4 linked regions of the Pelodiscus sinensis genome follow. The protein of the gene in region 3 purifies or fractionates together with the protein of the main gene of each other region. This does not show direct contact. Links are inferred from orthologs where the notes say so. Each region holds a gene or a part of one and is shown on either strand. Other genes may lie near its edges. The genes, in order: CHAMP1, AHDC1, CBX1 and ZNF280D.

Region 1 (6,894 bases), on a different chromosome or scaffold from region 3:
CGAGCACATTCTTACCCTTATAAGCTGTTCATATTTAGGCATAATCTTCAGGTCAGAGACATTTTACCCTGACCTGGTTCCCAGCCCCTTGTATCTTTCAGGAGTTTCCAGACTAGCCAAAGACAAAGGGCTCATTGATTAAATAGTCTTTCCCTCAGAACAGGAAACTTTTGTTCAACACTCCCCGTTCCCCACTTTCCATGGAAAACTACCAAAGTAAGGCTACGTTTAGACTACGAGGTTTTTTCAGGATATCCCGAAAAACCCCACCGCATCCAGGGAATGCGTTTGCACTTTTTTTTTTGCGGAAGTGCAAATGCACTCTTTCGGAAGCCCCAGTATTCCTCCTTCCACCAGGAAGAAGGGGGCTTCTGAAAGAGGGTTTTTTCCCAACATTTGGCCTAGTCTAGACAGGCTAAAAGTCGGAAAAGTCTCTTCCGACAAAAGAATCAGAAAAAGCTACACAAAATGCGGAGTGCATTTTGTGCAGCTTTTTCCGACAAAACTTTGTTGTCTAGACCTAGCCCCAAAGTGGAATCCCAGTACCAGATGGTATGGTCACGTGTCTTACTAGTCCAATCAATTTTGGACTTACAAGACAAACAAGGCCATTTACAAGTCGTTAAGTTGATCACCAAGTCATTAAGGCTTGAGGGAGAGGTAATGGCTCTCATTAGCACATTTGAAACTATAAGCAGTCTCATGCTATGTATTTCTAACTTTACATACAGGAACGATACATGCACTGAAATAGAATTTGTTGATTATGTGAGGCATTTCTTCAAAGCATCTCTGAGTTATGCATATTAATATAAACCAATTTTCATTAAGCATGGGGGGACCTCTTTATTGCCTAGTAGTACTGCTGATACAAAAGTCCAATACAAGCGCATTGGAAGCATGTACACCTGCAGTATTTGTACACAATCACTTGAAAGAGAAACAAGATACTCTACTATGTAGCTAGTTGTATTAATGTGTAGTATTATTGTGTATTAAGACTCACCAATTTTGCAAACCCCTCTAAAGTAAAAGATAAGACTTTCTGAACACAGAGTTTTCCTTTTAATAGACACAAATAGGCTATGTCTAGACTGGCATGATTTTCCAGAAATGCTTTTAATGGAAAAGTTTTCCGTTAAAAGCATTTTCGGAACAGAGCATCTAGATTGGCACGGACGCTTTTCCGCAAAAGCACTTTTTGCGGAAAAGCATCCGTGCCAATCTAGACGCGCTTTTTCGCAAAAAAGCCCCGATCGCCATTTTCGCGATCGGGGCTTTTTTGCGGAAAACAAATCTGGGCTGTCTACACTGGCCCTTTTGTGCAAAAGTTTTGCGCAAAAGGACTTTTGCCCGAACGGGAGCAGCATAGTATTTCTGCAAGAACACTGACAATCTTACATGAGATCGTCAGTGCTTTTGCGGAAATTCAAGCAGCCAGTGTAGACAGCTGGCAGGTTTTTCCGGAAAAGTCGCTGATTTTCCGGAAAAACTGGCCAGTCTAGACACAGCCATAAAGAATAATTTTTTAAACTTCTATTCATACATCATGATAAAAGTAGACTTCAAGTCTAGGCTGCTGCTTTTGATTGACCAACCACTAGAGGGAGACTACAGCAAACCAGCGTTACAACACTTCAGGAATGGAGATTGTAATTCTGAAATGTTCTTAACTCTAAATAAAACATTATGGTTTCTTCGCACTGAACATTAACAATACAGTTTTGAAACTTAATTAGGCAGAAGAAAATTACTGCTTTACTTATATTTAGTAGTTTACAATTAACACAGCACTGAACTACATCTGCTTTTTTATTTGTTGGTTACTGCTGCTGCCTAATTGTATACCTGTATTCCAAGAGAGTTGTATTGTTGACTCCTCAGTTTGTAACGCTGGTATTTGTAAACTCTGAGATTCTACTAATCAGTTTTGATCAGTTCTGACTTTCCACGTAATGGGTGGCACATACTTGCATGCTAATTAGTGTATTATGTGTTATCCACATCATGTTAATAAAAGAAGCAGGACTAGGTTTCACTGTCCTCAAAATATCACAGTTATACCTGCAAAGGAGTCACAGCTTTTTTGTGCTGAACATAGTAGCCTTTTCAGGTAGTCCCCAAAATGATTAATGGGGTTTAATGGACACAATTAAATACTGACAACCTAGGAAAAGAAGGGGGAAGAGACTCCCTTTGGGTAAGTTTAGACTGCAGAGTTTTTCTGGAATACTGGAGGTATCCAAGGAAAATCTTAAAAAAAAAAAATCAGAAAAGCAGATGTGTTTTTTCCACATCCCTGTAAACCCCCTGTTGCTCATCCACACTGCCTTCTTGTGCAAGAGGGCTTATTCCTCTGGGGAGAAGAATAACTCTTGCCCAAGAAGCCCTCTGTTCCAACGTATTCCTGTAAATTTACTTGAGCAAGAACGCATGTGCAGTGTAGATGCACCATAAGTTTTTGCGCAAGAATGGCCATTCTTGCACAAGAAGCCTGCAGTGTAGACATAGTCTTGAAGCCTGAACATAGCAGCGTCTACTACCTCTAGAACTAGTGCTAGGCACCACCACCCACCACAAAAATGCCTTCCATTTCCCAGTCCCCTCCCACAGTCTCTCAAACCAACCCACAAACACCTATTTAACATCACAAACACACAGGTGAGCCATTGATGCTACTATGGATTTGTCGATGTTCAGTTAAGACCTGAAGAGACATCGGCCTGAGGAGGAAACAGCTCTGACAGCATCACACCTTCTCAGTGGCATTTTCAATCCCTATGTCACAAACAAAAGCCAAACCCACAGCGTCCAGTTGCATCTTGTGTAAGGTCTCCAGCTCTGTGTTGGGCATTTGCTGAGCAAGCCTGGCATTACACAACTTAACTCAGTTGGGAAACGGCAAATTCCCAGTATAGCCATCAGTGCCTCAGGCAGCACAAAGAAACCCCAGAAAGTGCAGGATGTGTGTGGGGACGAGGGAAGTGCTGAGTGGGGAGGGGGGCTCTGGCACAGCCTGAAGGTGTGCAACAGATACTCCCCTCCACCACACACCCATAGCAGCCCCCTCCCGGAGTCCCTGCAAGGGGAGTGTTTGGGCAAAGGCTCAGGAGACATCCACATGCAGCCCAGGTGATTAGCAGAGCGCCCTCAGCTGGGTTTTCCCAATGGTGGTGCAAAGTTTATCCCGCCCATGGACAGAACACAGGCTACGTCTACACTGGCATGATTTTCCAGAAATGCTTTTAACTGAAAAGATTTCCATTAAAAGAATTTTCGGAACAGAGCATCTAGATTGGCAGGATGTTTTTCTGCACTTCCGTGGCCAATCTAGACGCGCTTTTCCACAAAAAGCCCCAATCGCCATTTTTGCGATCGGGGCTTTTTTGCGGAAAACAAATCTCTGCTGTCTACACTGGCCCTTTCGCGCAAAAGTTTTTCGGAAAAAGACTTTTGCCCGAATAGGAGCAGCATAGTATTTCCACAAAAGCACTGACAATCTTACATGAGATGGTCAGTGCTTTTCCGGACATTCAAGCGGCCAGTGTAGACAGCTGGCAAGTTTTTCCGCAAATGATTTTTTGGAAAAACTTGCCAGTCTAGACACAGCCAAGGAGCTCAGGAGGCACCAGCTGGTTCCCAACAGGCGCTGGATCCGGCGCGCCCAGCAGGCTCCAACCCCTGCAAGGGATCCCGCACCCCGCGCTCTCCTCCAGGCGCTCAGCCCCGGACCTTTCTAACGGCTCCAACCGCCCCCGCCCTCTTGGCGCCATGCACGCGCGCGCGCGCAACGGCAAGGAAGCAGAGGCACGTTGTCGGGGGGGGGGGGGGGGGGGGGGAGCGCCCGCGGTCTCGCGCGGCGGGGGGCGGGGCAGAAGCAACGGCGGCGTTTCCGGTTGGGCAGCGGGAAGGGCCGGAGACCCAATAAAGCCTCCATTGTGTGGGCGCGCGCCTCCCTTCCCCTTCCCCCCCCCCCCCCGGGAGCGCTCACTCCGGCCTGCGAAAGCCGCCGCCACCGCCGCCATTGGAGGGGCCGCGTCCGCCCAGGGGTCTGCCCGCGCGCAGAACCCCCGCCCGAACGGAGCGAGAGTCACGTGCTGCCCCTCGCGGTGAGTGCGGGGGGGGGGGGGGGGGAGCCGCGTTCTCTAGGCAGGAGGGGGCGCGAAGGCTTCGTAAACACCCCCCCCCCCCCGCGCGCGCGGCTCGGGCCTTTCCCGCTGGAGGCTCCTCCCCCCCCGCGGCGGTAACGCGTTCGGGGCCGGTCATCGCCGACCAGGCTCGCGCTCAGACCCCTCCCCCCACTTCGGGGCTGCGGTGCCCCCTCTCCCGCGCGCCCCCAGTGCTGCGGCTGGCGGGCCCCGAGTCGGAAGTGCGAGGCGGCTGCCGCCCCGTGGGGGTGTGAACTGCCCCCCCCCCCCAGCCAGCGCGGTCTGGATCCAGCCTTTCCCTGTGTAAATCCTTCCCTCCCCCCCCAGCCCGCTTCAGGCTCGTGCTGAGGTTACAGGCGACAGACACGCTGCATCGCACTACTGCGGGGAAACACAAAGCGGGCATTGAAGCAGCCTTTCAACCCCCAGACCTGAGCCCGCAGCCGATTCTCATTGCCCTAGTCGCGAGGAAAACCAACACAAACAGTTGCAGAACGAGCCTGTGTTACCGAATTGCAACGCTGCAGGACAATGTCAATAATCTCAAGTAAGTAAGTTTCTCTGTAGCAGGCAGTTTTTAAGGGACAGGCCCTATCACTTACCAAAATCAAGGGTATGAGTTGTTTTATCCCGTGTGTTCTGTAGGGACAGAGGCACTTCATTTATAAAATTGCCACTCTCAGGAAATTGTTTTTAAGTGTATAAAGAAGCCCAGAGCAAGTCTGTTGTGTGGAGTTTTGGAAGTGGATCCTGCTGTGGTTTGTGTGTGATCTATGCACACTTTTTGGTACATCTGTGAAGGTGGGCAGCAATGGAATATAAATAGTTGGTGCTAGAGATGTATATATCCATTTAAAAAGTTTACTGGATTAACAATATAATTGTAATACTTTAACCTGTTAATTGTGCGGCTGGGGTCCAACCAGCTCTTCATGGGTGTGGGGGGGACTTCTCTGGACAGAAGGGATCCCCCCTGCTCTGGCTGGACAGGTTCTGTCACACTGTGCAACAAGCTGGGGGCTATTCTGGCCTGCTGAAGTCCTGGTGCCTGGGTTGGCTGCAGGGAGCGTCTCCCTTCACCCAGCCCTTCGGTTAATTAATTGGTTATTGGTTAATTAGATAATCATGCTGATAAAGCTAATGCTTACTAGTTAACCTTTTGCATCCCTAGTTGCTGAAGGTTCCTTAGTAGCGGTGATGTTAGGAGAGTTTAGGGAAGGAATTAGAACATTAAGTAAGGAAAGAAATTAAGATGCGATAAAGTGAGAGGGAGTAGTTCAGGAAAATTTGTTCGGCTATTATGTATGGATTTTGCCAATTTAATTTTTCTTTAAAGCTAAATTGAATCTGATTTGCTTGCAAAATAATAAACCTTATATTACCAAGAAAATGTTATGCTATTAATCCTATTTCAAATATTTCTGAAAACTACTTGTCTGCTATGGGATGAATTTAAGTTAAAAATTCTCTTTCAAATAAATCTGTTTAAAATGAAAAGTGGAATTATGTCAATCTATGCTGAGGCCTAAATTTACTAGAATCTGTTAAATGTATATAATTAAAAAAAATCGAATAGCAAAGTAAAAAAGATCATGTAGTAAAGAAGAAATGCACCTTTTTCTATAATAACAAAGTTAATATACATTAAGCTAATTTCTTAAATGCATATAGATATAGCATATTCTAGAAAATAACTTAAAAGTACATGTTTCTACAAACCAGACGAAAACTGCTTATTTAACACAAGATTTCTTGTCACTTTATTCTTAAGAAAGCACTAAAGTTACAGATCTTTGCAAATTAACAGATATCTTGAGATGCACAACTCTGTAGTCAACTGTCAGCCTTTCTGTGTGTGAAATTTTAGGCTAGGCCAAGTCCCTTCTGTGTTCTCTCTCCAGCTGGTGTTTCTTGCATGTGGAAATGGATGGTCCCTCTGCTCACAGTAGCGACCTCTTTGTTTTCATCATGTATCCAGGCTGAGGAGCTGTAGATGTGCAAACTCTGCTGATGCTTTTGTGTAGAAAATCCATGGAGTTGGTCAGCTGATAAGAACAGTCAGAGTCCTAGCTTGTTAGACCTTTAGTCTAGTTCTTCAATGAGGTGACTAGCACCTCCCCTGGGAAGGATATTATTTCAGAATAATTAAAATAGACTTTTCTTAGGCTATGTTTACTTTGCATTTTGATCTATTTCTTGTCAGGGGTATGAAAAAGCACACTGCTGATCCATGTTCCCTCTAATTTTGTGTGTCCATTTGTGAAATGAATTTTGCTATGTGCACCAATATGGCGAAGATATGCAACGTATCAAATAACAAACAAAATTCATTTGTAAATGGATGATCTGTAGCAGGTTTGGTGCTGAGGGGTTCGGAGTGTAGAAGGAGGCTTAGAGTTGGGGGGGATGAGGGTTCTGACTGCTGGTGCAGGCCCTGTGGTGGGGCTGTGGATGAGGTATTTGGGATGTAGGAGGGGGTTCCAGGCTGAGGCATGGGGTTTGGAGCACTAAAGCAGTCTTAGGGCAGAAGGTTGGGGTGGAGGTGCTTGATTAGGCAGAAGTTTGGTTGCAGGAGGGGGAATCAGGATTGGGGTGTAGGATCTAGGAGAGAGTAGTGGACCAGGCTCAGCTGGGGCTCAGGATAGGGGTGTGTGGTCTGGGAGGATGTTATGGTGTGGAAGGGGGCTCAAGGCAAGGGTGCAGGGTCTGGGAGGTGACAGTGTGGGAAGGGCTCAGGTCTGGGATT
Region 2 (7,943 bases), on a different chromosome or scaffold from region 3:
GCCCTCCCCACCATGGCCCTGTTTACTGAGAGCTGGTTTCCAGCACTCAGGAGAATAGCAGGAGCATTTCAAGGCCCTGTTTCCACTTGGCTGACACACGCTATTTATAGAAGCCTACAATTCTCCCAGAGCTTTCCTCGGGATCTCAGCAGAAATAGACTGCCCCGGGTCTCTGCTGCCTCTTCTAAGGAGGCCAGGGCAGGCACTCTGTCCAGTCAGCCCCTTCAGGCCTCCGATAACCTTCCGTCTCCTCTCCTTCACCAGCCTCCAGCTCCCAACGCTGGATCATGTTCTTGCCCACCCCCAGCCCCATCGTTCGGTGGATACTTCCCCTGCAAGGCAACGGAGCCAATCCTACGCTGAGCAATACCGGTGCCATTGAAAGCAACAGAACTGGACTATTCCTCATGTGTGTTAGTCGACAGGAGGAGGGGAACGGGGCCCTTCCGGGCAAAACCAGCATGAGTGAGGGCCAGTGGGCTAAAATAACCCCCCTCGTAACTGCACCAGAGACAGTGGACTGCAGCAGAGTTGCCCCAGGCATGATTTGGCCCGTTCGGGTTCACAGGCACACAGCTCGGCATTTGGCTCCCTGCCTTCCAGATGCCACAAACCAACAAGGCCATCACTGCAAGGGGACACCCAGTGAGTCATCACGCCCCGATTCAACAAAGCTCTGAAGCCACAGCCCTGAATTCCATAGGACTTCACCCTGCTCACGCGCTTTGCTGAATCAGGGCCAACGTCCTGAGGGCTCGCTTGGGCTCTTTGTCGCGCGGGTGTCAATCTGGAGTCACGCCACTGACTGCTGGGTTTGCACCAGTGAAACTGAGCTCAGAATATGGCTTTGAGCGCCACTCCAAAGCCACATGCCAAGTTCCCAACACACAGGCCACCTGGTCTTGCATGGGGAGAAACCAGAACCTGCCAAGTGTTCCGAGTCTCCGCAGCCTGGCTGTTCGGCCAGTTTGGTTTTCTGGATGTCTAAGAATCTCCGTGTTTTCCAACTAAGCACCCAGGGGGGTGGCTTTGGTCTCCCACTAGTGCCTCTCAATGGAGTTACTCCAGCAACCCAGCGCCAGGGTCTGAGAGAAGAATTCCAGTGCATTATTCGCAAGCAGGGAGTGCAGTTCCTTAGCACCAAGGGGATTTTAAAAATAAAAACTCCCAAAAAGAAAATACTCTTCCCAAAAAATGGCCCCCTAAGAACTAGATCTGCAGAATGTAAGGTAACAGCAGGGTTTCCAACGCATCCTCCGTTGCACAACATTCCCCCCTGGACAGACCAACCAAGTAAAGGCCCTTTGGACCATAAAGAAAACTCCCCCACATATACACCACACTAACCAAAAATCTGGCCTGCTGCTGCCTGCAGCCCCCACCTCTTGGGAGCTGGCAGGGGGGAGACACAGGCAGGAAGGGCTGGGTTGATGTAACACAGATCCAAGCGCACATGCGAGAAAAGACATATCACCACAAATTTTGTTGACATCCTTGATTATAACTGCTGCCTGCCTTCTAGTGGACAGAAGCCAGCCTGACAGCTGTCACTCAGCAATCCCACATGCAGGGGGAGGCAGGCAGAGGAACCCTGTGAAATCAGATCCCTCCAGAAGGAAATGCATAGATTCCAGGCTTATTTATTTATTTAAAGAAGTAGGCGACTTTGTTCCACAGGTAACGCTCGCTCAACCCCCCACCCCCCCCGCCCGGCACGGACACACACAACTCTGCTTGCCAGACAATGTCTCCCCACCCCAGTCTTTACCTCCCCTCCCACCCCCCACTGCCTTCATATCCCCTTGCCAAACATTTCTGCGGTTTTTGCTCCTTGAACTGCAATTAAAACTCCAGCAATTTGGGAACAACTCTCCCAGAGGATGCAACTTCGCCCTGCCAAAGGGTGGAGGGGGGGGGGGATGAGCGAGAGCCAGGAGGCGTCTGTCCCCAACACCCCTACGCTTTTGCCGAGAACCAAACCCACATGCTGAAATAATAAAGGACTGTTGGCTTGATCTTCCATTCCAACCCCCCCCAGCCACCCACCCTTCCTTTTCAAAGCAGCTCCCCACCCACCCACCCCCGCCACTTAGTAAACATATCCTCTTACTCTTGGGCTTCTCAAATGCACAGCCCCTGCCTGCATCGCCCCCATCTGCATGTGCAAGGCGAGATTAGTGTTTACACCTAAAGCGATTTTCGGTCGGGATTTTTTTTTTTGAAGGGGGGGGGGGAGGTAGAAAGCCAGACACGGAGCGATGGAGAGGTGGCGGATTCGCAGCATATTGCAAGGCAGTAACTGGAGAGGTGTGGGCTTCGGGGAGGGCGGACAGGAAATAAGAGAAATACAACCCAGTTGGCCTCAAGTGCTGCCAAGCCCGCTACACAGAGACAAAGGCTGTTTCATCTGGACTGCATGCTGCCCTTTAACCCCCCTCCCCACAGAGTTTGCTGCCCAAGCACTCTGCAGCAAGTTGCTCGATTAGCTCATTACAGAGGGGGGAGGGAGATCCACTGGGGGAAAATCCCCTGGCCCCCAGGAGCCGGGCGCGCGTGGGGGGGTCCCCGAGGGAGGGGGGGGGCAGGGCAAATGAAAGCCTGGTACTCACCAGCCGGCTGCTGGGCACCCAGCCCTTCCGGAGCTGCCCGTTTGGGGAGGTTTTTCTCTTCCACGGGGGCTGAGTCTTTGCTGCCAGCGAGATTCATGGAGCCCTCCGGACCACCGGCCACCTTCAACGACAGCATGTTCACCGCCTCTGCTCACATGCTCCTCGAGCAACTCTGCTGGACGCGACCCCCCCACCCCCCCCTCTGTGCTCCCGCCTCCCCGCCTTGGAAACACACAAAAGAAGAGCCAGCCGGAGAGGGGAAGGGGGGGCTCGGCGAGCCTGGCTGCACCGCGCTCCCCGGCTCGGCTCGGGCTCGCCACCCTCCGCCGCGGCGCTCGGGGCTGGGTGGGAAAAGGAAATGAAGACACAACCCAGAGCCCGGGCTTGTGCTGCCGCGGCTGCTTGCAACCCCCCCCCCCTTCCTCCTCCCCCTCCTCCTCCGCCCCCCCCTTTCTCTCTCCGCTCTCGCCTTCTGCTGCGCGCTGCCGGGCGGGCGCTGCTGCCGGGCTCGGCCGAGCCTGCTGGGCTGCGGGCGGGCGCGCTCCCTCTGCCTCTCCCTAGCTCTGGGGGCTGGTGCTGCGGCTGCCGCCTGCCTGCGAGCTCTGCTTACCTTCGCCTGTCAGCAGCCGGAACCCCAGGGAGCGCTCCGGCGGGGCATGCCGGGGATTGTAGTCCCGGCCAGCCCGGGCGGGGGGGCGGCGCAGGCAGGGGGAGGGGACCCCCCCCCGGTGTGGCTTGTGCAATGCACAAAGGGGCCGGGGATCGCGGGGCGCACCCCCCCCCCCAGGCGCTGTCGGGGGGGGGGCAGGCGGTGCTTGAATTCGTGCCCCCACTAAGGAGTGTCTCCCCCCCCCCCAACTTCTGCAAAGTTTGGGGCTGAACTTGCCCCCCCCCCCCGGCTCCCGGCCATCCGGACGCGTCCTGCTGGGAAGCGGCCGGCGGGCTGGTGCCGATGTCCCTGGCACGGGTCGCCGCTGCCCTCTGCCGGGCGGAATCGGCACTGCTCCGCGGTGTGTGTCCTAGGCTCTCTACTGCTCGTGGGGATTCTCCTTTCGCGGCAATGGGGCTGCTGGGGGAGGAGGGGTGACGACGCGTTGGGGTTCCCGCGCCTCCTGCACCCCCCGAAATGGCACGAACAGACTTCACCAGCCAGTAGAATAGAGGGAGTTTATTGCTTCTCCAGGACACAGCACAGCACAGATGTCATCTGGTTACAGGACAGGCCTAGGATGCCTCAGCCCCCCTTCATATGGGTCTGGGCTTCTAAACCCCAGCCTGTTGCTTAGGCGGCTTCCTCCATGCTCCCAGACAGAAACTAACTAACCCTCTTCCAGCCCTGCCCCCCAGCCAGGGGCAGCATTCCACCTTCCTTTGTTTCTCTCCCTGGGGGCTAGCTGGTCAGACAGGTTGAGAGACCCTCTCTGCATAATGACTCATCCCCTGTCTCGCTGGGCCGTGGTTAGGGTCAGCCAGTGGGGGTTACCACAGAGCCAGCATAGAAAGCAGCCCAATACCCCCACTACGTCACAGGAGGGGTGGGTGTTCTCTCTTCCAAAGAGACCGGATGGCCCCAGGGATCTTGCTACCTAAAGGCACACCGAGTGGGAACAAATCCACTGTGTTTCAGCACTGCCCAAACCCCAGTGGTTTTCTCTGGTACTTGGGGGCACCAGGAAGGCTCAGGACAGGTGCTAGCTAAGGACAGGGAGAGGCCGCCCTCTGTGATTGCAAGACTCAGGGGTAGAGTCGGGGTGATCCTGGTGGCGGTTGTGGGGACTCCCTATTTCAGGGCGGAGTGGCTGTGTACTTTCCGGCTGACATTTTCAACGCCATTCAAGAGAATTGGACACCCCATTCCCATTGGGAAGGAAGCATCCAAATTCCCTACAGTCGCTTTGGAAACATCAGCCTAAAGCAGTGGTTCTCGAAGTGTGGTGGGCAGACCACTAGTGGTCCGTGACCATCTTGCAGGTGGACTGAAGCTCTGGGTTGTAGAATTGACTGGGTGATGGGGGCCCCCCAACGTTGGAGCATCACTGTTGGCTCACGTGCACAGGATCCGGCTCTCTGATGCTGTTGCTCCCCTCCGCTTGGCGGCTGGAGGAATGGCAGTGCAGGGAATCGCTAGCCTAGAGGCTTTCCCCACTGCTCCCATTGACTGGAATCCCAGCCAAAGGGATCAGCAGGTGGTGGTGTCTGGGAGTGGGGGGGCAAAGCCAGGTAAGCACCCCCCATCCTCCTCACATACACCCTCCCACCAGCCCCTGCACCGCCAGCCTGCTCCCGCATCCTTCCTCCTGCCTGGACCCCCTACACTCAGCTTATTCCTGCATCCAACCTCCCAGTCAGACCCCCATCCCAGCCTGCTCTGCACCCTCCCTCCCACCCAGATCTTGCACCCCAACCCCCTCCTCCACCCATTTTGTGGTTGGCTGGTGGTCCACGGAACAGTTTGCATCGAGAGGGGTGGGATGGAAGCCAAAACATTTAAGAAGCACCCATCAAAATATTCAAGCAACCTCCGCTTGACTTACTCAGTGGGGGTATGTCTACACTACCCCGCTAGTTCGAACTAGCGGGGTAATGTAGGCATACCGCACTTGCAAATGAAGCCCGGGATTTGAATTTCCCGGGCTTCATTTGCATAAGCGGGGAGCCGCCATTTTTAAAACCCTGCTGGTTCGAACCCCGTGCAGCGCGGCTACACGGGGCTCGAACTAGGTAGTTCGGACTAGGATTCCTATTCCGAACTACCGGTATACCTCGTGGTACTACCTAGTTCGAGCCCCGTGTAGTCGTGCTGCATGGGGTTCAAACCAGCGGGGTTTTAAAAATGGCGGCTCCCCGCTTATGCAAATGAAGCCCGGGAAATTCAAATCCCGGGCTTCATTTGCAAGTGCGGTATGCCTACATTACCCTCCTAGTTCGAACTAGGAGGGTAGTGTAGACATACCCTGAGTGAATTTGTGCTTGGAATCCACTTGTGTTGGGGTTGCCTTGTTATTTGGTGTATTTATTGAAGCCCCAGCCCCTGGAGTCATGTGAGTATAAGAAACTCTTCGTTTTTATTAAAACAAGTCAGATTTTAACCCTTATTGTGGCCAAAAGATTAAAAACATGACCCCCAAAGTCCCCTCAAGCGTCACAAATCAGAAGGCAAACGAAAAGAGGCCCAGAGCTTCCTGAGGTTTAACCCAATCTCATGGTGCTTGGGGCCCTGATTCATGATTTTTGAACACTCGGAGCTGGCAGTCTGGGGTTGCGCACAACGTGAATCTGGATGGAATATTCCAATCAACAAACACGCACACACAACATGCATGCTACAAGTCCTTTCGCAAACCCCAGAACTGCTCTAGGAAACAGTGTGACCTTTTCACACTTTCTCCCATAAAACGTGGTGAAGAATCGACAGCCCTGGGAACTGCACTAGCATCACTGGTATCATGATAACATCTAGAAGTCTGGGCCAAGACTGGTACTGCCGTGTGCAGACACAGTAAGAGACAGGCCCTGCCTCTAAGAGATTACAGCCAAAACAGGTGGGGAAACAGAAATATAGAATGGGGAAATGAATTGCCCTCTGTCTCACAGCGGAGTTGGGAACAAAATTCAGGTCTGCTGCTGAGACCAGTGTCTTGCCCACCAAACTATGTTGCATCTCCACATCTAGATACCAATGTGCATGTCTATAGGGCCTTCTCACCAAGGATCTCAAAGCACTCGTTAATTTCACAGAGGCTCATAGCTACAACACAATTAAAACACATAATATGACTGATGTCTGTTGTGACATTGTATTTTCCGGAATAACGAGTGAGGGGTTAACGCCAGAGGATTGTGAATATCATTAGAATTTTAATCACACGTGAGTCATCAATGAAGTAACATATAGATGGGGATGAAACAGAAAAAGTACCACTGGGATATATCACCCACACATACACCCCAATCGTGTGTATTGTATATTCAATTAAAATTAATATTTGGATGTCAACAGACACCTAGGACTAAATCTTGCTGATTGCACGTACCCTATTGATCTCAGGGTCTTTAGTGGGTCGGCCAAGGACTGGTAGGCAAGCGGATGATGCAGAGAGCACCCTGCAGTATTCGACTTTGTAGATGCCAACAGGATGTGAGTACTCCACCTGGGTCATCGATAGAATTGGCACATGCAGGGGATCTGTGTTGTTTGAATGAGTACAGGTAGAGGCAGTATTTATCATTTACCCTAAGAGGTGAGCCTTGAAGTTTCTGCTCTTTTTTAGTAACTGATCACAATCCAGAAGGATCCGCATATTGTGATCACATAGAGTTTTCTTGGTATTAATCTTGCCTCTTTTGGTGTATATATGTGCATGCACCCCTCCCCCCCCACACACACCATCATGCACATGTAGTGGAGTTGTGTGCATAGCATGCATCTTAGGCAGAGAAAAGGAGCAGTTTGCTCATCCTGCTCCAGGGAGGGAGGACGATTCTACAGAAAACGTTACATTGAGAGCGGCATGGGGTTTAAATTGCAAAGATTTATTAATTTAATCCACAGCATTGAAAGGTCGTGTATTAATCAAAGGGATGCTTAAAACTATCCAAGTTCCTTGTCGGGTGTGAAGGGCATCTGTATAGGTAGAGCCCTGTGCGGTTACAAAATTCGTACACACATCCATAGCCACACAAATGAGCCACGGGAATGGGGATACCCATGGACATAAAGCGGATATCCACAAATTTGCAGTGTTCTAGATACAACATTTATATCTGAAGCAGCATCCATATCTGCAAAAATAAGCCGTGGACATCAAGCTGTGGATTTGCAGGGCTCTAGCTATAGTTATCATAAAAACTTATCTCTCAACCTGGCACAAAGTCCCTGCCAGGGCTGGCAACTAAAAGGAGCTGGGCAGGGCCTGCTGCATCCTCGGGTGGCTGGCCTTGCTCCAGTTTGAAAGGAGTAGCAAATTGATGGGACCTCACCCTTCCTCCCTTGCTTTCTGCTGGGGCATACGCCCTGCGTGATGCTCTCCCCTGCACAGCCACATACCGGTATGTCATCCGGGGTGCTGGAGGCTGCTTGCAAACCGGGACCAGGTCATCACTTTCTAACCAGACCCAGCGTCCTACTTCTGGAGGCCTTGTTCTGCAATGCCACCTGCACGGGTCTCTGTTCCAGAAGCAATTAATCCTAGCTGAATATTTATACTGGTGCATACATGTGCCTAACGAATTGTGAATAACAATGCATGGGCCCTGAGCCATTCCTAAGGTGGTAACTCGACACCAGGGGCCTGAGAATCCGTATAAACCACTTGAGCTTATTCTATCCCCAAG
Region 3 (8,040 bases):
GAGAGGACAGTGAAATACCAGCCTGTCTTGTCTATTTCTAGCCAGTTTCACTGCCCTGCTCTCCAGAATTAAGACAAAGCTGTGACGTTTGAATTGCAAACCTGGCGGGAGCTGTTTAATCCAAACAAATTACCTGTGTAAGAAAGCCCAAGATTCATAGAATCTTAGTTAATTAAAATGGTTTAAAAGCCCTTAACAAAACCTGCATTTAGAACCTAAACATCATAACAGTCCCATTATCGTACCCACTTTACTTTGTAGTCACAGGACACACACCTCGCCTCTGCAACTCCATTAGCCCCAACACTGCCAGCACAATTCCAGCATCCCAAGGCCCTCAGCGTAGCTCTCACCTCCCCAACTACAGCTTCATCACGCTCTAGTTTTCAGATCCACTCCAGTCTCTGCCATCCCCCTAGCCCACCTCTCAGCCCACCTCTCCTCCCACTTTCCCCACACACAGGATCTTTGGGTTTCAGAGGGGGTAGCCCTGTTAGTCTGTAACTGAAAAAACTTAAACAACAAATAGTCTTGCAGCACCTTACAGATTAACAAAAAATGTAGAGGGGATCATGAGCTTTCGGGGGCATCTCCCCCCATCCCCTTTCTTTCCCTGCCTTTTATTTGTAAACTGGACCCCTTAACTTCATTCATCTGAAGAAGTGGGTTGTGCCCACGAAAGCTCAGTGCCTCCCTAGGACCTCCTGGCGCAGCTGTACCCCATACCTCTCTCCATCAGGCACACTCCAGCAAGCCATCAACTACCCCCAATACGCCTGGCGCAGCTTCATTCATTCCATAGCTTCATTCTCTCCCCTTCTTCAGGTTTACTGTCACCCCAACCTGGGCAGTCTGCAGCTGAACTGGGGGCCACATGTCCCAGAGTGCAGCTTCACCCCGGTTCCCTCCACGGAGGCAGCTTCTTCTCTACATGCCCCATGGTTCCCATTCAGAGCACAGCTCCATGTGCCCCATCCTGTCTCTTTAGTGCAGCTTCATTTCCAAGTGTCCCTTCCCCAAGCCCCAGTCCCACTAGAGTCTGTTCTGCCCCCTCTGAAAGTTCCATATCCACATCCCCACGAGACAGCCCTTGGGCTAGCTCCCCTCATTGCCTAGGACCACCTGGGAACAACAACTGCTCCTCGGAACCTCACCTGCAGCTTCACAGCCACGGAGCTACCCCCCAGGTACCCGCTGCGTTCCCCCTTCTGTGACGCTCCTCTCCCGTGTACACATCCCCACTCCCCATGGCTCCTGGCGCGGCCACCCGGCCACCCACCCCCTTCAACCTCCCCTTGCCAAAGATGTAGCTCCCCTCTGCACCCAGCTCTCCTGGGTCCCTCTCTCGAGCCCCACGCCCCCTTCCAATCCCTGCTCTACAAAGTTTCCATGCATCTCTCCCCTTCCCCACCAAGTCCCAGCTTCCCCATTGCCCCCCACAATCGAGCTCCCTCTCCCAATGCCAGCTTCCCTCCCCCAAATCCCAGCCCCAAGAGCACTGTTTGCAGCAAACCCTCCCCTCCCAAAATGCAGCCCCCCCATTCCAGACCCCACCTAATCCTAGTTGTACAATTTAGCCCTACAGCTTCCCCTCCCATCCCAGCGCCCCCCTGCAGCTCCCCCTCCCGTCTTGGCGCCCCCCTGCAGCTCCCCCCTCCCCCTCCCAGCGCCCCCCCTGCAGCTCCCCCTCCCCCTCCCATCCCAGCGCCCCCCTGCAGCTCCCCCTCCCCCTCCCGGAGCCCCCTTGCAGCCCCCCTCCCGTCCCAGCGCCCCCCCCCAGCACCCCCCTGCAGCTCCCGCTCCCCCCCTCCCGTCCCAGCGCCCCCCTGCAGCTCCCCCCTCCCCCTCCCGTCCCAGCGCCCCCCTGCAGCTCCCCCCTCCCCCTCCCGTCCAGCGCCCCCTGCAGCTCCCCCCTCCTGTCCCCCCTCCCCCTCCCAGCGCCCCCCTGCAGCTCCCCCTCCCGTCCCAGCGCCCCCCTGCAGCTCCCCCCTCCCCCTCCCAGCGCCCCCCTGCAGCCCCTCCTCCCTCCCCCCTCCGTCCCAGCGCCCCCCTGCAGCTCCCCCTCCCCCCTCCCGTCCCAGCGCCCCCCTGCAGCTCCCCCCTCCCGTCCCAGCGCCCCTCTGCAGCTCCCCCTCCCCCTCCCGTCCCAGCGCCCCCCTGCAGCTCCCCCCTCCCCCTCCCGTCCCAGCCCCCCCTGCAGCTCCCCCTCCCCCCCTCCCGTTCCAGCGCCCCCCTGCAGCTCCCCCTCCCCCCCTCCCGTCCCAGCGCCCCCCTGCAGCTCCCCCTCCCCCTCCCGTCCCAGCGCCCCCCTGCAGCTCCCCCCTCCCCCTCCCGTCCCAGCCCCCCCTGCAGCTCCCCCTCCCCCCCTCCCGTTCCAGCGCCCCCCTGCAGCTCCCCCTCCCCGTCCCAGCGCCCCCTGCAGCTCCCCCCTCCCCCCTCCCGTCCCAGCGCCCCCCTGCAGCTCCCCCCTCCCCCCTCCCGTCCCAGCGCCCCCCTGCAGCTCCCTCTCCCCCTCCCGTCCCAGCGCCCCCCTGCAGCTCCCCTCCCCCCTCCCGTCCCAGCGCCCCCCTGCAGCTCCCCCTCCCCCCTCCCGTCCCAGCGCCCCCCTGAAGCTCCCCCTCCCCCTCCCGTCCCAGCGCCCCCCTGCAGCTCCCCCTCCCCCCTCCCGTCCCAGCGCCCCCCTGCAGCTCCCTCTCCCCCCTCCCGTCCCAGCGCCCCCCCTGCAGCTCCCCCTCCCCCTCCCGTCCCAGCGCCCCCCTGCAGCTCCCCCCTCCCCCCTCCCGTCCCAGCGCCCCCCTGCAGCTCCCCCCTCCCCCCCCGCGCCCCCCTGCAGCTCCCCCCTCCCCCCCCAGCGCCCCGCCCCCCCGCTCACTTTTCACAGCCTCGCCAACGGTGCCGGGGCGGAGCGGGGCTGCGCGCGGGGCCGGGCCGAGCTGAGGCGGGGGCGGGGGGGCCGGGTCCGTTGCCGGGGGCGCCACAGGCCTGGCCGCTCGCGATCCGCCTCCGCCAAACAAAAGAGCCCAGCAACCCCCTGTACCCGCCGAGCGCACTGCGCCTGCGCGGCGACCCCCGCCCCGCCCGCGGCACGCTGGGCCATGGAGTCCCGCCGTTGGACGACGGCTCCCAGCAGGCCTAGCGGCGCCCGCCCTTTCGCCGCGCTGCCTGCTGGGTGTTGTAGTCCGGGAGAGCTGGAGGGGGGAGCCCAACCAAGCCCAGCCCACGTGCGTGGCCCCAGGGAGCCACAGGCTCCCCCCTCCGCCCAGGCTGGCTGCAGGGCTGCCACCGCTCCCCCTGTCCATGAGTTCAGCAAGCCCCCGGCTGAGCGCGGCGGAAAGCTCCAGCTCCCGGAGGCAGGGGACTCCAGTGAAAAGGGAACTGCCGCCCCTAGGAGCACTGGCCTCTGCAGAGCGGCGCAGACCCCACTGAGCCCACAGTGGCCAGCCCAGGATGCGCCAGAGAAAGGCGAGAGAATCATCCAGCCCGCACCTAGGGGACGAGTTCCCTCCTGCAGGTCTCACCCTGATCTCCAGCAGTTAAGAGCCTGATTAGGCTGAAGTATAAGGGTTAATATCCCTTCAAACGTGTGTGGGGATTATGTATGGCACTGCATAGCCTTGATACCTATTTAAATATCCAATCCCTTTAATACAGTTACAAAAAATGTCTTTGCCAAAGGATCAAGGCCCACAAAACAGATATTAGACAGGATCACAAAGAAAAACAGTTTCTTGCCATTTCAACCAGAAAGGACACTGTCTCAATGACTTGATTACCTGCATCCTGCTTCAAAGGCCTTTTCAGACCACACTTCAAAGAGAATCCTCTGAACTGTCATTCATGCTTAAATTCGACACTTTACACTTAGGTTTAAACAAAGACATTAATTATCTTACCCATTACAAAGATAGCTTCCCCAATTATCACCTCTAATATCATTAGCTCACAGACATTTACCATCCCCTTTCTGTTCTGAAATTTGATTTGTCCTTTTCATATGTGTTCATTTTTTAACTGTATCCTTTGGTATATATGGTTGTGCCAATTTTCTTCCACTATTTGATCTGAGGAAGTGGGTCTGGCCCACGAAAGCTCATCACCTAATAAACCATCTTGTTAGTCTTTAAAGTGCTACATGGTCCTGTTTTTTGTTCTTTTTAATACAGGTTGAACCTCTCAAGTCTGGCACTCTGGTCTGGCACCATCCATGATCCGACGTGATTTTAGGCAGCCGGATGGCAACTTACAGTGGGTGTGGCCAAGTTCCCGCGGTGCCATAAAGTTTGTTTACAGCCACCCGACCTGGCTCTCAGTGCTCTGGGCTGTTATTTAGTCTTCTAAGAGCCCAGTAAGCAGTGGCAGTGTTAGTAATGCTGCTAGTTAATACTGACCTCTCCTGGTTCAGCAAATTCTCTGGTTTGGCACCAGTCAGGTCTTGAGAGCTCTGGACTAGAGGTGCAATCTGTTGTTTGTTAATTTCTTGGCCTCAATTTCTTCCGGTGGTAACGAGTTTCACGTTTTTATCACACCGTGGATGAAGAAGTATTTCCTTTTGTTGGTTTTACCACCATCTTCATGTGTTATGAAACAGGGAAATAAAAATGCTCAATAAACCTTCTTTATGCTAAAAAGCCCCCAAAGACTTGTAAACCAGAAAGCAAACAAAAATACCACAGCGCTTATTCTTTTTTTAAAAATTTGGTTTTAAAGCTAATCACATGATTTTTAAAGGCCTGATGTTGGAAAGCTTGAGGTGGGCAATACTGCTATAGAACACGAAAGAACAACACCACCCCCGTTAAAAGCATTTTCGGAAAAGAGCATCTAGATTGGCACGGAAAAGTGTCTGTGCCAATCTAGATGCACTTTTCCACAAAAAAGCCCCAATCGCCATTTTCGCCATCAGGGCTTTTTTGCGGAAAACAAATCTGAGCTGTCTACACTGGCCCTTTTGTGCAAAAGTTTTGCGCAAAAGGACTTTTGCCCGAACGGGAGCAGCATAGTATTTCCGCAAGAACACCAACAATCTTACATGAGATTGTCAGTGCTTTTGCGGAAATTCAAGCGGCCAGTGTAGACAGCTGGCAAGTTTTTCCGGAAAAGCAGCTGATTTTCTGGAAAAACTGGCCAGTCTAGACACAGCCAGCTTATGTGTGGTTTGTGCTGCGTGACACTAGCCACCACCAACCAGGTAGGTCTGGGATTAGGGGCAGCCACAGTGTAAAGATGGGTCGTGATGCCACTATGCATGTGCAGAAAGTCCTGCATGTATGGGACTCATCTGTATTTCCATTACACAGCCAAGGAAAATGGGTCAGGGTTACCAAAGGGTTAGTACTGTCAGGTGGCAGGGATACTGAGTCACTAGAGGCTGCTGTTACCAGGCCTGTGTTCCTGGAACATCCCACCTTCAACACTTTCCACTTGGGCTCCCTGGAATGCTGTTTTGCTGGGCACTGGTTACGCAAGCTGACCCAGGACAGGAAGTGGTCATGGGATCAATCCCGTAGGAGAGGAGGAAGGACTGCTCACCCAAGTCAAGGGAAAGAGGGGGAGGGAGCTCCTTTTTGTTCTTCTCACCTTCAGCCCTGTAGTTTTCTTTTCTGAGCCTTTGGGTTTACGCAGGTCACATTTTCAAGCTTTTCTCTGCAGCGGGCTAGGAACGTACTTTTGTTTCCAATGAAAGCTGAGATTCCCACGAATAATTTGACTCCAGAAAAACATGGAATGTCCTGAGAAGGATGACAAAAGCGTGGGAGTTGGCAACACTTCTTAAAGGCCTCCACAAAGGCCTTGATGAAACAAGAGAGGGTTGTCGGGGGGGGGGGGGGGGGGGGGGGGGGGGGGAAGGAGGAAGGGCAGCTCTGCTGTCTATTAGTTCTAGGATATTAAAGAGATAAGGCTGGGGATGCAACATCTTTTACTGGACCAACTTTTGTTGGTGAAAGAGACAAGCTGTCAAACTCCACATAGCTCTTCTTCAGGTCTGGAAAATGTATTCAGGGTACAAGGTGGAGCAGATGGATTAACATCAGTAGCTACCACACTTAAGGGCTCATTCAAAGTGAAGTGCCCTTTGTTAACGCCTGGGGACAAGGGGGGTGGGGAAGGAAGGAAAAAACGTGGAGCAGCGTTTAAGTGTCATAATAAGGAATAAATCCAGTGTTTCTACTCAGCCCATAATTTTGAGGATCTAGCAGAATCATGAATGTTAGTTTTCAGGCTTGTCTTTTGAAGGTGTTGCTCAAATTTCCTCTCCTGACTGTACCCCCATGTGTACACTGGGGTTGGCACAGCTATTGCCTTTGGAGGAGGTGGATTAAGTATACTGACCGGAGAGAGCTCTCTTGGCTGGTATAAATAAAACCGCCTCCATGAGCGGCACAAGCTACGTTGGTTAAAGCTCTCCGGCTGACACGGCGCCGGGCACGCAGGCGCTTACGTTGGAGTAACTCACGTTGCGCAGCGCGGTGCGAAGTTCCTGTTCCTGTGCGGCCAGGGCTGGCCTTCCCATGAGGCGAACTGAGGCGGCCACCTCAGGGGCCAGACTGGGGGGGGGGGCACTAGAGTGTAGAAAATTGTGTCTGCTGCTGGTGCATCTGTATCCTCTCTGCTCTCGATGCACAGAGCTGGAGGAGCGCTGTGCAGGAGGAAGGCGGGCACAAGAGACGTAACGGTCAGGCAGGAGAAGGGGCACAGGGGCGTCACTTGAGCTCCCCGCCTCAGGTACCAAAATGTTACGGGCCGGCCCTGTGCGCGGCAGACGCTCTGCCGACGGCAGGCCGTAGCGTGAGGTCGTGGGCTAAGCGCGCCAGTGGTTCACATGCCGATGTGCCCTCCTCACCTTTCCCCAAACTCGGGGCTTGTCTCTCTCCCCGGCTGCCCTTGGTCCAACAAAAAGTTTTCCTCTCGCCCACCTTGTCCCCTGGGGAGGCTGGTTTTACAGGGGGGGACTCAAAGACATCCATCAACATGGGCATCTGTCAGAGTCTGCATCCTCAGGGTGGGGACCACCCTGCACACCCATGCACCCCTCTTCTCCAGCTCCCTCCCTCCTCATCCTCCTCCCCCTTCCTCCCGCTGGCCCCCTCTTCGCTCTGCTCTCAGCTTGGCCTCGGGCTTGTTTGCATCTGCATCCCCCTCGGGGTAGAGGGCGTGTGTGGGGGGGGGGGGAGCGGAGGGGCTAGAACTACAACTCCCAGCCTGCCCCGGGACCGCACCGGAAGGAGCCCCTGAGCGTGGCTATAAGGGGCCGGGCCCAGCCCTTCACCTCTTAAAGGGGCCGCGCCGGCTGCAGACGCCTGTCCTGCGGGAAGCGGTGAGGAGCCGGGGCAGGGGCGGTCTCCGGAGCGGGGGGCGCTGGGGTAGGGGGGAGGCAGCCATGGCCAGAGTGGGGGGAGAGGGGCATTGGGTAGGAGGGGGGCGGGAACCGTGGGAGGGGGGGGAGAAGGAAGAACCATGTGCAGAGGAGGGGAGGGGGGCATTGGATAGGGGAGGGAACCATGTGCAGAGTGGGGGGGGGGAGGGAACCATGTGCAGAGTGGGGGGCATTGGATAGGGGAGGGAACCATGTGCAGAGTGGGGGGGGGGGAGGGAACCATGTGCAGAGTGGGGGGCATTGGATAGGGGAGGGAACCATGTGCAGAGTGGGGGGGAAGAAACCATGTGCAGAGGAGGGGAGGGGGGCATTGGGTAGGAGAGGGGAAGGAACCATGTGCAGAGGAGGGGAGGGGGGCATTGGGTAAGGGAGGGAACCATGTCCAGAGTGGGGGGGGGGGGAAATGAGGGGGGCACTGGGTAGGGGAGGGGGGTGGTGGTGGTGGGCAATGTTCCCTCTTAACGTTTTCCATCCATGTGTGGAATACATTTTGTTATGCGCACCCAGGCATGTGTGGATGTGCACTGCCAGTAGAAAACCCATGCTGGCGCTGTGGGCGCTCTGCTAATCAGCTGGGTGGCACCTGACTCTCTCTTGGGTGGCCATGCAAGCACCCAGCTCCCAGGCAACTCTGGTGGCGGGGGGGGGCTGTTCTCTTTTCCAGG
Region 4 (7,551 bases), on a different chromosome or scaffold from region 3:
AGTCAGGGTGTCTCATGCAGAGTTCAAAATGGCCTCCTTAAAAGGGCAATGCCTGCTCTGTTCTTAAAAGGGCGGCAGCTGCACCTCTTTTGGGGTAGGGGGAGAGGCGACTCAACTTTTTCCCCTCAGCTCTTTGCACTGTATCCACCACTATTTTGGCTTTTCGTCTGTAACAGGTTGGCCATCTCTGATCTAGACAGTGCTTGATACTGCCATGAAGGCAGGGGACTAGACTCAATGACCTCTCAAGGTACCTTCTAGTATCCTATGATTCTATGACTGTTAAACTTTACGGCTATGTCTACACTGCAGCCTTCTTGTGCAAGAACTGTTTTGCGCAAGAGTTCTTGTGCATAACGTCTTCCACAAGAGCATGTCCACACTGCCATGTGTTTTTGCACAAGAGATGTGCTTTTGCACAAGAGCGTCCATGGCAGTGTGGATGCGCTCTTGCGCAAGAAAGCTCTGATGGCCATTTTAGCCATAGGGGTTTCTTGTGCAAGAAAATCATGTTGCCTGTCTACACTGCCTTCTTGTGGAAGAGCTCTTGCGCAAAAGGGCTTATTCCTCGTGGGGAGAGGAATAACTCTTCTGGAAGAAGCCCTGTTTTCCGACGCTGTACTGTGAATTTATTTGCGCAAGAATGCACGTGCAGTGTAGACACATGACAAGTTTTTGTGCAAGAACAGCTGTTCTTGCACAAAAAGCCTGCAGTGTAGACGTAGCCTAATAGTTGCCCTTTAAGAGTTGTTTTAAGAAGCAAAGTTGCATTGTACATAAACCCAAAGCTCAACCTAAAGCATCCACCACCTTTCGGTCCATACTACTTCAGTTAGCATAATTTAATGTCATGTGGGCAATCTACTATAGCAGGGGCAGGCAATTTTTGGTGAGGGGGCCACACCAAGACTTTGGAAAGTGGTCAATGCAAGCTCTTTTCTGTGGAGCAGATATGGGGATGGGTGCAGAAGGGAACACAGGATAAGAGACTGGGGTGCAGGAGAGGATTCTAGCCTGGAGAAGGAGTTTGGAATGGGTGAAGGGTCTGGGAAGGAGTCGTAACCTGCAGCTGGGGGGTGCAGGATAGTGACCTGGGGGAAGGAGGTGGGACTCAGGAGGGGCAGAAGTGCCAAAGACAGGCTTTGGCTGGGAGGCACTTACCTAAGCGTCTCCCAGCCAGCAGCCCTGCAGCACCCCCAAGGAAGGCTGGGCTCCCTGCCTGCTGCAGTCCCAGAGGACTTAATACTGCAAGCTGTTCTCTCCATGGCTACGTCTACACTGGTACCCTCTTGCGCAAGAACTGTTCTGCAGAAGAGTTCTTGCGCAAAAAGTCTTCCACAAGAGCGCGTCTACACTGGCATGTACTTTTGCACAAGAGATGTGCTTTTGCACAAGAGCATCCATGGCAGTGTGGACGCTCTCTTGTGAAAGAAAGCTCTGATGGCCATTTTAGCGATAGGGGTTTCTTGTGCAGGAAAATCATATTGCCTGTCTAACCTGCTTTCTTGTGGAAGAGCTCTTGCACAAGAGGGCTTATTCCTTGTGGGGAGAGGAATAACTCTTCCAGAAGAAGCCCTGTTTTCCAACGCTGTACTGTAAATTTACTTGCGCAAGAATGTGTGCACAGTGTAGACACCCGACAAGTTTTTGCACAAGAAGAGTTGTTCTTGTGCAAGAAGCCACTAGTGTAGACATAGCCCATGGGGCTCAGTTCAGGGAGGGGGAAGAGGCTTGCACTGCTCACATCCCCATGACCAATCTCTCAGCTCCTATTAGCTGGTTGTTTCTGGCCAATAGGAGCTGAGGATTGGGCTGGGTGTGGGGAGGTCACAAGTTTCTCCCGCCCTGGAAAACAGTCACACAGAGCAGCCCTGTGCTTAAAACAGCAGCTGCTGCGTGACAGAGTCTTGGCAAGGTGGTCCACGGGCCTGATATGGGGGCTTAGTGGGCTGAATCTGGCCCCCGAGAGGTATTTTGCCCACCCCTGTACTATAGCAACGTCATAGTCTGCAGGTCTTGGTTTGTTTTAGAAGCTGTCAAACACTGCGTTAGGGATGTGAACAGACTTAAAAGAAACTAAATGTCATTTACCTTTGATGCAAATGTAAAAAAACGATTAAGCACCTAGCCCAGTGGGGAAACGTCCCTCGAAAACACCTTCCTGCCTCACTGTCATGAGATGGTAAGAGCCTCCTACAGAAGGGCAGCGTTATCTTTTGTACGCAAATTACAAGTTCTCACAAGCTACATGGGTGTGAGGTGAGGCCGAGGCAGGGTGCAAGGACGCCGGGACAACAGGGCAGCTCCCTCTGGAACCGTTCTCTTTCACGCGGCTTCATCATTTCCCTCTGACACGCTCCGTGACCCCCGGTGTCTGAGGCAAGGGCTGGTTTGGCCTCAGGCAGGAGGGGTCGGATGGGGATCGGAAACCCGCTTGCACCGCTATTAGAACGGGGAAGATCCTCAACACCCACTCACAGCTATTCGGGAGACACCAACAAAGGAGGGAGGGGAGGGCGAGCCCGCGAAGCTCCGGCTCCCGCGTCAAGGGGAGACTAACAAGGTCGCTAGAAAGGCTGAGAGTCCCAGAGCTCGCCGGTCGGGGAGGGGGGGGGGGGCTACAAGGCCACGCTCCGAGCCAAGATGGCGTCGGTCTCGTAGGCAACAATCCCCCCGGTGGCCCACCCTGCGCTAAGCAGCGGTAGCTCCCTCCGCACTGGAAGGCCCTGAGCAGGCCGTCCCTGCGGGGAGGGGACAGCGGAGCGGGCCGGCTTACCGTGCTGCGCGTGTGAAGAGGCCGCGGCAGGCTCGCTCGCTCCCTGACTGACGGGGGGGATGGGAGGGGGCGGCTCCGGCGGAAGATCCTCACATCGCCCAGCCGCGGCGCCCAACCTCAGTCTCCTGCCACTGCAGCCGCCGCTACTGGGGGGAATTCGCTGAACCCGGCGCGCTGGCTGATGGGTAAAGTGCAGGTCAGCCCCACAGAGAGGCGCCTTCTTTCCGGCAGCCACCAGGGAGGGGGCGGGGCAGCGCGGGGGAGGCGCACACAACGCAGGGCCATGTGCCTGGCCTCACACCCTGCAGAGCAGGCCTGGCCTGTAGGCCGCACCTCGGAGCTTTCCTTTGCTGGGGGACTCTGCTGCACACAGTATCCTCTGCCTCCCACATGGGGCAGGGCCAGCCCTCCCTACATACTCTGTCCTCCCAACAACCATGGACCACTGGTAAAACCACCACCCATGGGACACATACTCTGGCGTGAACTGCCTTCCCATCATCAAGGGGCTGAGGCCAATCCCACAGGAAGCCCAAGGCACAGAAAGTGATCAGTGCCCTGCACCAGCAAGCCTACACTGTACTGTGTGCCTGGTCTGTAGACATAAGATGCGTGCCACAGAGGAAGCCAGGTTCACAGCCCAGAAAATGGTGTCTATAGCACCTGACACAGACAGGTTATTGAAAAAGCCCACACTAGGATATTATCTTCCACACATAATAACCAGCCACAATCACCAGTAATTTCCTGTCTCAGAGATCTAGGATCAGAATATTACTCCAGGGAAAGAAGTACCCACAGTAAAAAAGTACAACAATTTGTCAAGTATAGTGAACTAAGGGAAAGCAAAATTTGAAACTTTAACACTACATGTTCTTTGTATGATAGCTGTATACACATTTCCATTAACAGCTATAAAACTAATGAAAATGAGAAAAAAATTTAAATCTGACATTAATATTCACATGTGAATATTTGTACACATTTGTTATGGTTTATGTAACTTGTTTAGCTCTACTATGTGTGGCTCTACACAAAAACCCAGAAGTAATCAGGAGAATTTACAATCTAAGATCCTGGTCCAGCAGTTTGATTCCAACAGCCACACAGAGTTCCACTGTAGCTGACAGGACTTCACATGGACATAAGGGTTTGTCCACATATATTAAATATCAGGATCAGGATATGAGGGTTAGGTCTTGCAAACCTTTATTCAACTAGGTACAGTAATCTTATTTATTTTAGTGGCACTACTCATGACCTGCAGTATCAGGTTGTACACACTGATGAAAAAAAAAACATCTACAGAGACTGGTGGCACTTTCAACATCTTTTTCCCCATCTCTTTTTAATATGATGGAAATCAGCATTTTATTAAGTTTAGTTAATACTCAGAAAATTTTCTGAGTCAGAATGAAAAAGACCGACTTGAAGACATTCAAGCTTTCACGTGCCTTTCTTGCTGTCTATTGCTATTCCTTCCCCATAGGACAAGGCTGGTCCATCCCAATATTATGGAGGTAATTAGAGCTCTGTGATTAAACTTGTGTCTAGACTTCCACTCTATGCCCTATTTTCTATTCTACAACAACACTAACTACAACTATTTTCTACCCTGGAAATTAAGAAATTTGTTTCCAACTTGTTATTCCTAATTCAGGTGTAAAAAACTTTTTTCCCCCAGAAAATTTGAAATATGCAGGACAGAAAGGCATTCAAATGCCACTCATAACACAGGTTGCTTCTCCCACATGGGTATTTTCCAGAAGAAAAGAATTATTGACCTACGATATAGAAAAGAGGAAGAGATCAGGGTAGACAAAACTATTTAAACTAGAAAGTGTCCTGTTTGTCTCATACTGTTATGTAAGGTTTTGAAACACTCTAGATATTTTTCAGAAGAAAAAAAATGGTTACTCATCTTTTATAACTGTTGTTATTCAAGATGACTTGTTCGTGTCCATTCCAATCAGGTATGCACATGTATGTGTGCATGGAAGTTGGAAGCAGCAACTGTCAGGTCAGCCTAACAGCCCTCTCTAGTACCACCAATATGGTGTTTGATATATAGCCTTGCTGACCCATCAACTCCCCAGTTTCTTCTGACGGCTACTCCAACAGAGGAGAAAGAGGGTGGGTATTGGAATGGACATGAACACCACATCTCAAAGAACAACAGTCACAAAAGATGACTGGCTGTTTTTTTCTTCTTTGAGTGATTGTTCATATGCATTCAAATCAAGTGGCTCACAAGCCTAAACTTTAGGAAGTGGTGTTGGAGTCAAGAGCTGACTGGAGCACTGCCCTACTGAAAGCCATGTCATCCCTAGCCTGCTGGGTGATTGCATAATGTACAGCACATGTGTAGATGGATGATCATGCCGCTATCTTGCATATCTCATGAGTTGGGACGTGAACAAGAAAAGCTATGGATGAATCCTGTGCCTGGTAGAATGGGCTGTAATAGCCAATGTTGGGATCAGATCAAGGTTATAGCATTCACTGATACAGGAGACTATCCAGGAGAAGATTCACTGGGATGACATTGGGTGGCCTTTCATCAACACAGGGAAAAGTCTTAACTGCATCTTGTCCTTAACACAGGGTAGGGGATTCCAAGGTCAGGGCCCTAAGTCTGGACACCCTCCTGGCAGAGGTTATTGCCAGGGCTCGACGATCGCAGAGCAAACCACTCGCCAGCCCCGCACTGTGCATGCGCAAGACCCGCACTGCACATGCGCAAACCACTGGGTGAACAGGGTGACCAGCTGAAATCTACTCGCCACGGGCGAATAGATCAGCAGATTTGTCAAGCTCTGGTTATCGCCATGACAAAGGCTACCTTATATGAGAGGTAAAGCAAAGAACATGTGGCCAGTGACTCAAATGGGGGACCTGTCAGCCTTGATTGGACTAAACTGAGGTCCCATGAAGGTATAGCCTATGAGTATAGCCTATGAGTATAGCCTATCCAAACCTTTTAGGAAATGACTTACCATTCTGTCTGAGAATACCATACAGCCTCGTACGTCAGGGTGGAAAGCCAAGATGGTGGCCAGGTAAATCCTCATGGATGAAGCCAAAAGGCCCTGCTGTTTCAGGTTGAGGAGGTAATTCGTGGTAATTTGGATCGGAGCTGACATAAGGAACAAACCAAGCTGAGATACCCAAATCAATAACTTCTTCCACTTGGTCAGATAAGCGGCTCTTGTGGAGGGGTTTCTACTACTCAGGAGAACCTGTCAAACCTAATTGGAACAGAGAAGCTCTCTGGGATCTAGCCATGGAGCTTCCCGACCTTAAGACACAAGGATTTACAGTTGGGATGATAGAGACAGGCTTAGTCTTGTGTCAGAAGGTCTGGATAGAGAAAAAGCAGGATCAGTACATCCATGGACAAGTCCAGGAGGAACATGTACCAATGCTGTCAATCCCAAACGGGAATAGTGACCACAGTATAATAACATTTAACATTCCTGTGGTGGGAAGAACATCTCAGCAGTCCAATACTCTGGCATTTAATTTCAAAAAGGGGAATTACGCAAAAATGAGGAGGTTAGCTCCGGCTGGCCAGGTCCTTGCTGGCTGGAGGCGTCAGTTGCTTTTAACTGGCGTCTCTCCTGGTCGTTCCTCCACTCGGGATGAATGTTGAATAGGATTGGTCCTAGGACCGACCCTTGGGGAACACCACTAGTCACCCCTCTCCATTCTGAAACTTCACCATTTATTCCTACCCTTTGTTTCCTGTCTTTTAACCAGTTCTCAGTCCATGAAAGGATCTTCCTTCTTATCCCATGACAACTTAATTTACGTAAGAGCTTTTGGTGACGGATCTTGTCAAAGGCTTTCTGGAAATCTAAGTACACTATATCTTTTGGATCCCCCTTGTCCGCATGTTTGTTGACCACTTCCAAGAAATCTAGGGGTACGTCTAGACTACAGGCTTTTGTCGACAGAAGTTTTGTCGACAGATACTGTAGACAAAGCTTCTGTCAACAAAGAGTATCTAGACTACATCCAGTTCTGTCAACAAAGCAAGCCACTTTGTTGACATGACAGCGTAGACGCAAAGGACAATGTAGATGCAATAATGCCTTCTGTCAACAGAACTCTGGTGACAAAAGGCGTTATTCCTCGTAGAATGAGGTTTACAGCCGTCGACAAAACTGCTGAGTTCTGTCGATGTTATGTAGACGCAGGTATAGTTTTGTCGACAAAAGTCCAGTTTTGTCGACAAAACCCTTGTAGTCTAGACACACCCTAATAGCAAGGCCGGCTTTTGGAAGTGAGCAGCCCAATTCAAACAATTTCAACGGGGCCCAGCAGCAATTTTGGTTGAACAAAAAAAGGCACACAAGTTTAACCGGGGGGCCCCCGTAATTTTTGATTGAACAAAAAAAAAAAACCCCGGCACACAAAAAAATCCCCCACCAACACACACAGACACACACACACCCTCCTGCAGCACAGGAAAACCCTGCACTAAACTCACACCAACACACTCCTCTTCCGGGGCCAATGCCCCCTCCCGCAGTGCACCTGGCAGAAGCGGCATATTTGTATAATTTTTGGTGGTGCCCCATTAGCCACATCCCTGACCTCTGTTAATCACACCCTCACCCCCATTAGCCCCACCCCCGCCCCCGTTAACCACGTCCCAACCCCCATTAGCCACACCCTTGACCCCCGTTAACCAGGCCTCTGGAGGTTACACGCTCGGGGCAAGATGGACACATGACCAGAAGTAAAAGGTGTCATGTCACCCCTTTTGAAGG

The links.
Region 1: the proteins of CBX1 (region 3) and CHAMP1 purify together in Homo sapiens (affinity purification with mass spectrometry; 6 studies listed by BioGRID and IntAct, with this or other methods). This does not show direct contact. The link is inferred for Pelodiscus sinensis from reciprocal best matches to the Homo sapiens genes CBX1 and CHAMP1.
Region 2: the proteins of CBX1 (region 3) and AHDC1 purify together in Homo sapiens (affinity purification with mass spectrometry; 4 studies listed by BioGRID and IntAct, with this or other methods). This does not show direct contact. The link is inferred for Pelodiscus sinensis from reciprocal best matches to the Homo sapiens genes CBX1 and AHDC1.
Region 4: the proteins of CBX1 (region 3) and ZNF280D purify together in Homo sapiens (affinity purification with mass spectrometry; 4 studies listed by BioGRID and IntAct, with this or other methods). This does not show direct contact. The link is inferred for Pelodiscus sinensis from reciprocal best matches to the Homo sapiens genes CBX1 and ZNF280D.

The regions. Positions count from the first base shown.
Region 1 is NC_134711.1:236,216,098-236,222,991, reverse strand, and holds the start of CHAMP1 (chromosome alignment-maintaining phosphoprotein 1), read left to right. Parts: upstream 1-3,875; 5' UTR 3,876-4,109; intron 4,110-4,475; exon of another isoform or gene 4,476-4,577; 5' UTR 4,578-4,695; intron 4,696-6,894. UniProt on the Homo sapiens protein: Required for proper alignment of chromosomes at metaphase and their accurate segregation during mitosis. Involved in the maintenance of spindle microtubules attachment to the kinetochore during sister chromatid biorientation.
Region 2 is NC_134735.1:12,463,113-12,471,055, forward strand, and holds the start of AHDC1 (transcription factor Gibbin), read right to left. Parts: upstream 3,021-7,943; 5' UTR 2,746-3,020; coding exon 2,610-2,745; intron 1-2,609. UniProt on the Homo sapiens protein: Transcription factor required for the proper patterning of the epidermis, which plays a key role in early epithelial morphogenesis. Directly binds promoter and enhancer regions and acts by maintaining local enhancer-promoter chromatin architecture.
Region 3 is NC_134739.1:13,775,205-13,783,244, forward strand, and holds the start of CBX1 (chromobox protein homolog 1), read right to left. Parts: upstream 3,038-8,040; 5' UTR 2,873-3,037; intron 1-2,872. UniProt on the Homo sapiens protein: Component of heterochromatin. Recognizes and binds histone H3 tails methylated at 'Lys-9', leading to epigenetic repression. Interaction with lamin B receptor (LBR) can contribute to the association of the heterochromatin with the inner nuclear membrane.
Region 4 is NC_134724.1:28,534,204-28,541,754, forward strand, and holds the start of ZNF280D (zinc finger protein 280D), read right to left. Parts: upstream 3,029-7,551; 5' UTR 2,777-3,028; intron 2,194-2,776; 5' UTR 2,092-2,193; intron 1-2,091. UniProt on the Homo sapiens protein: May function as a transcription factor.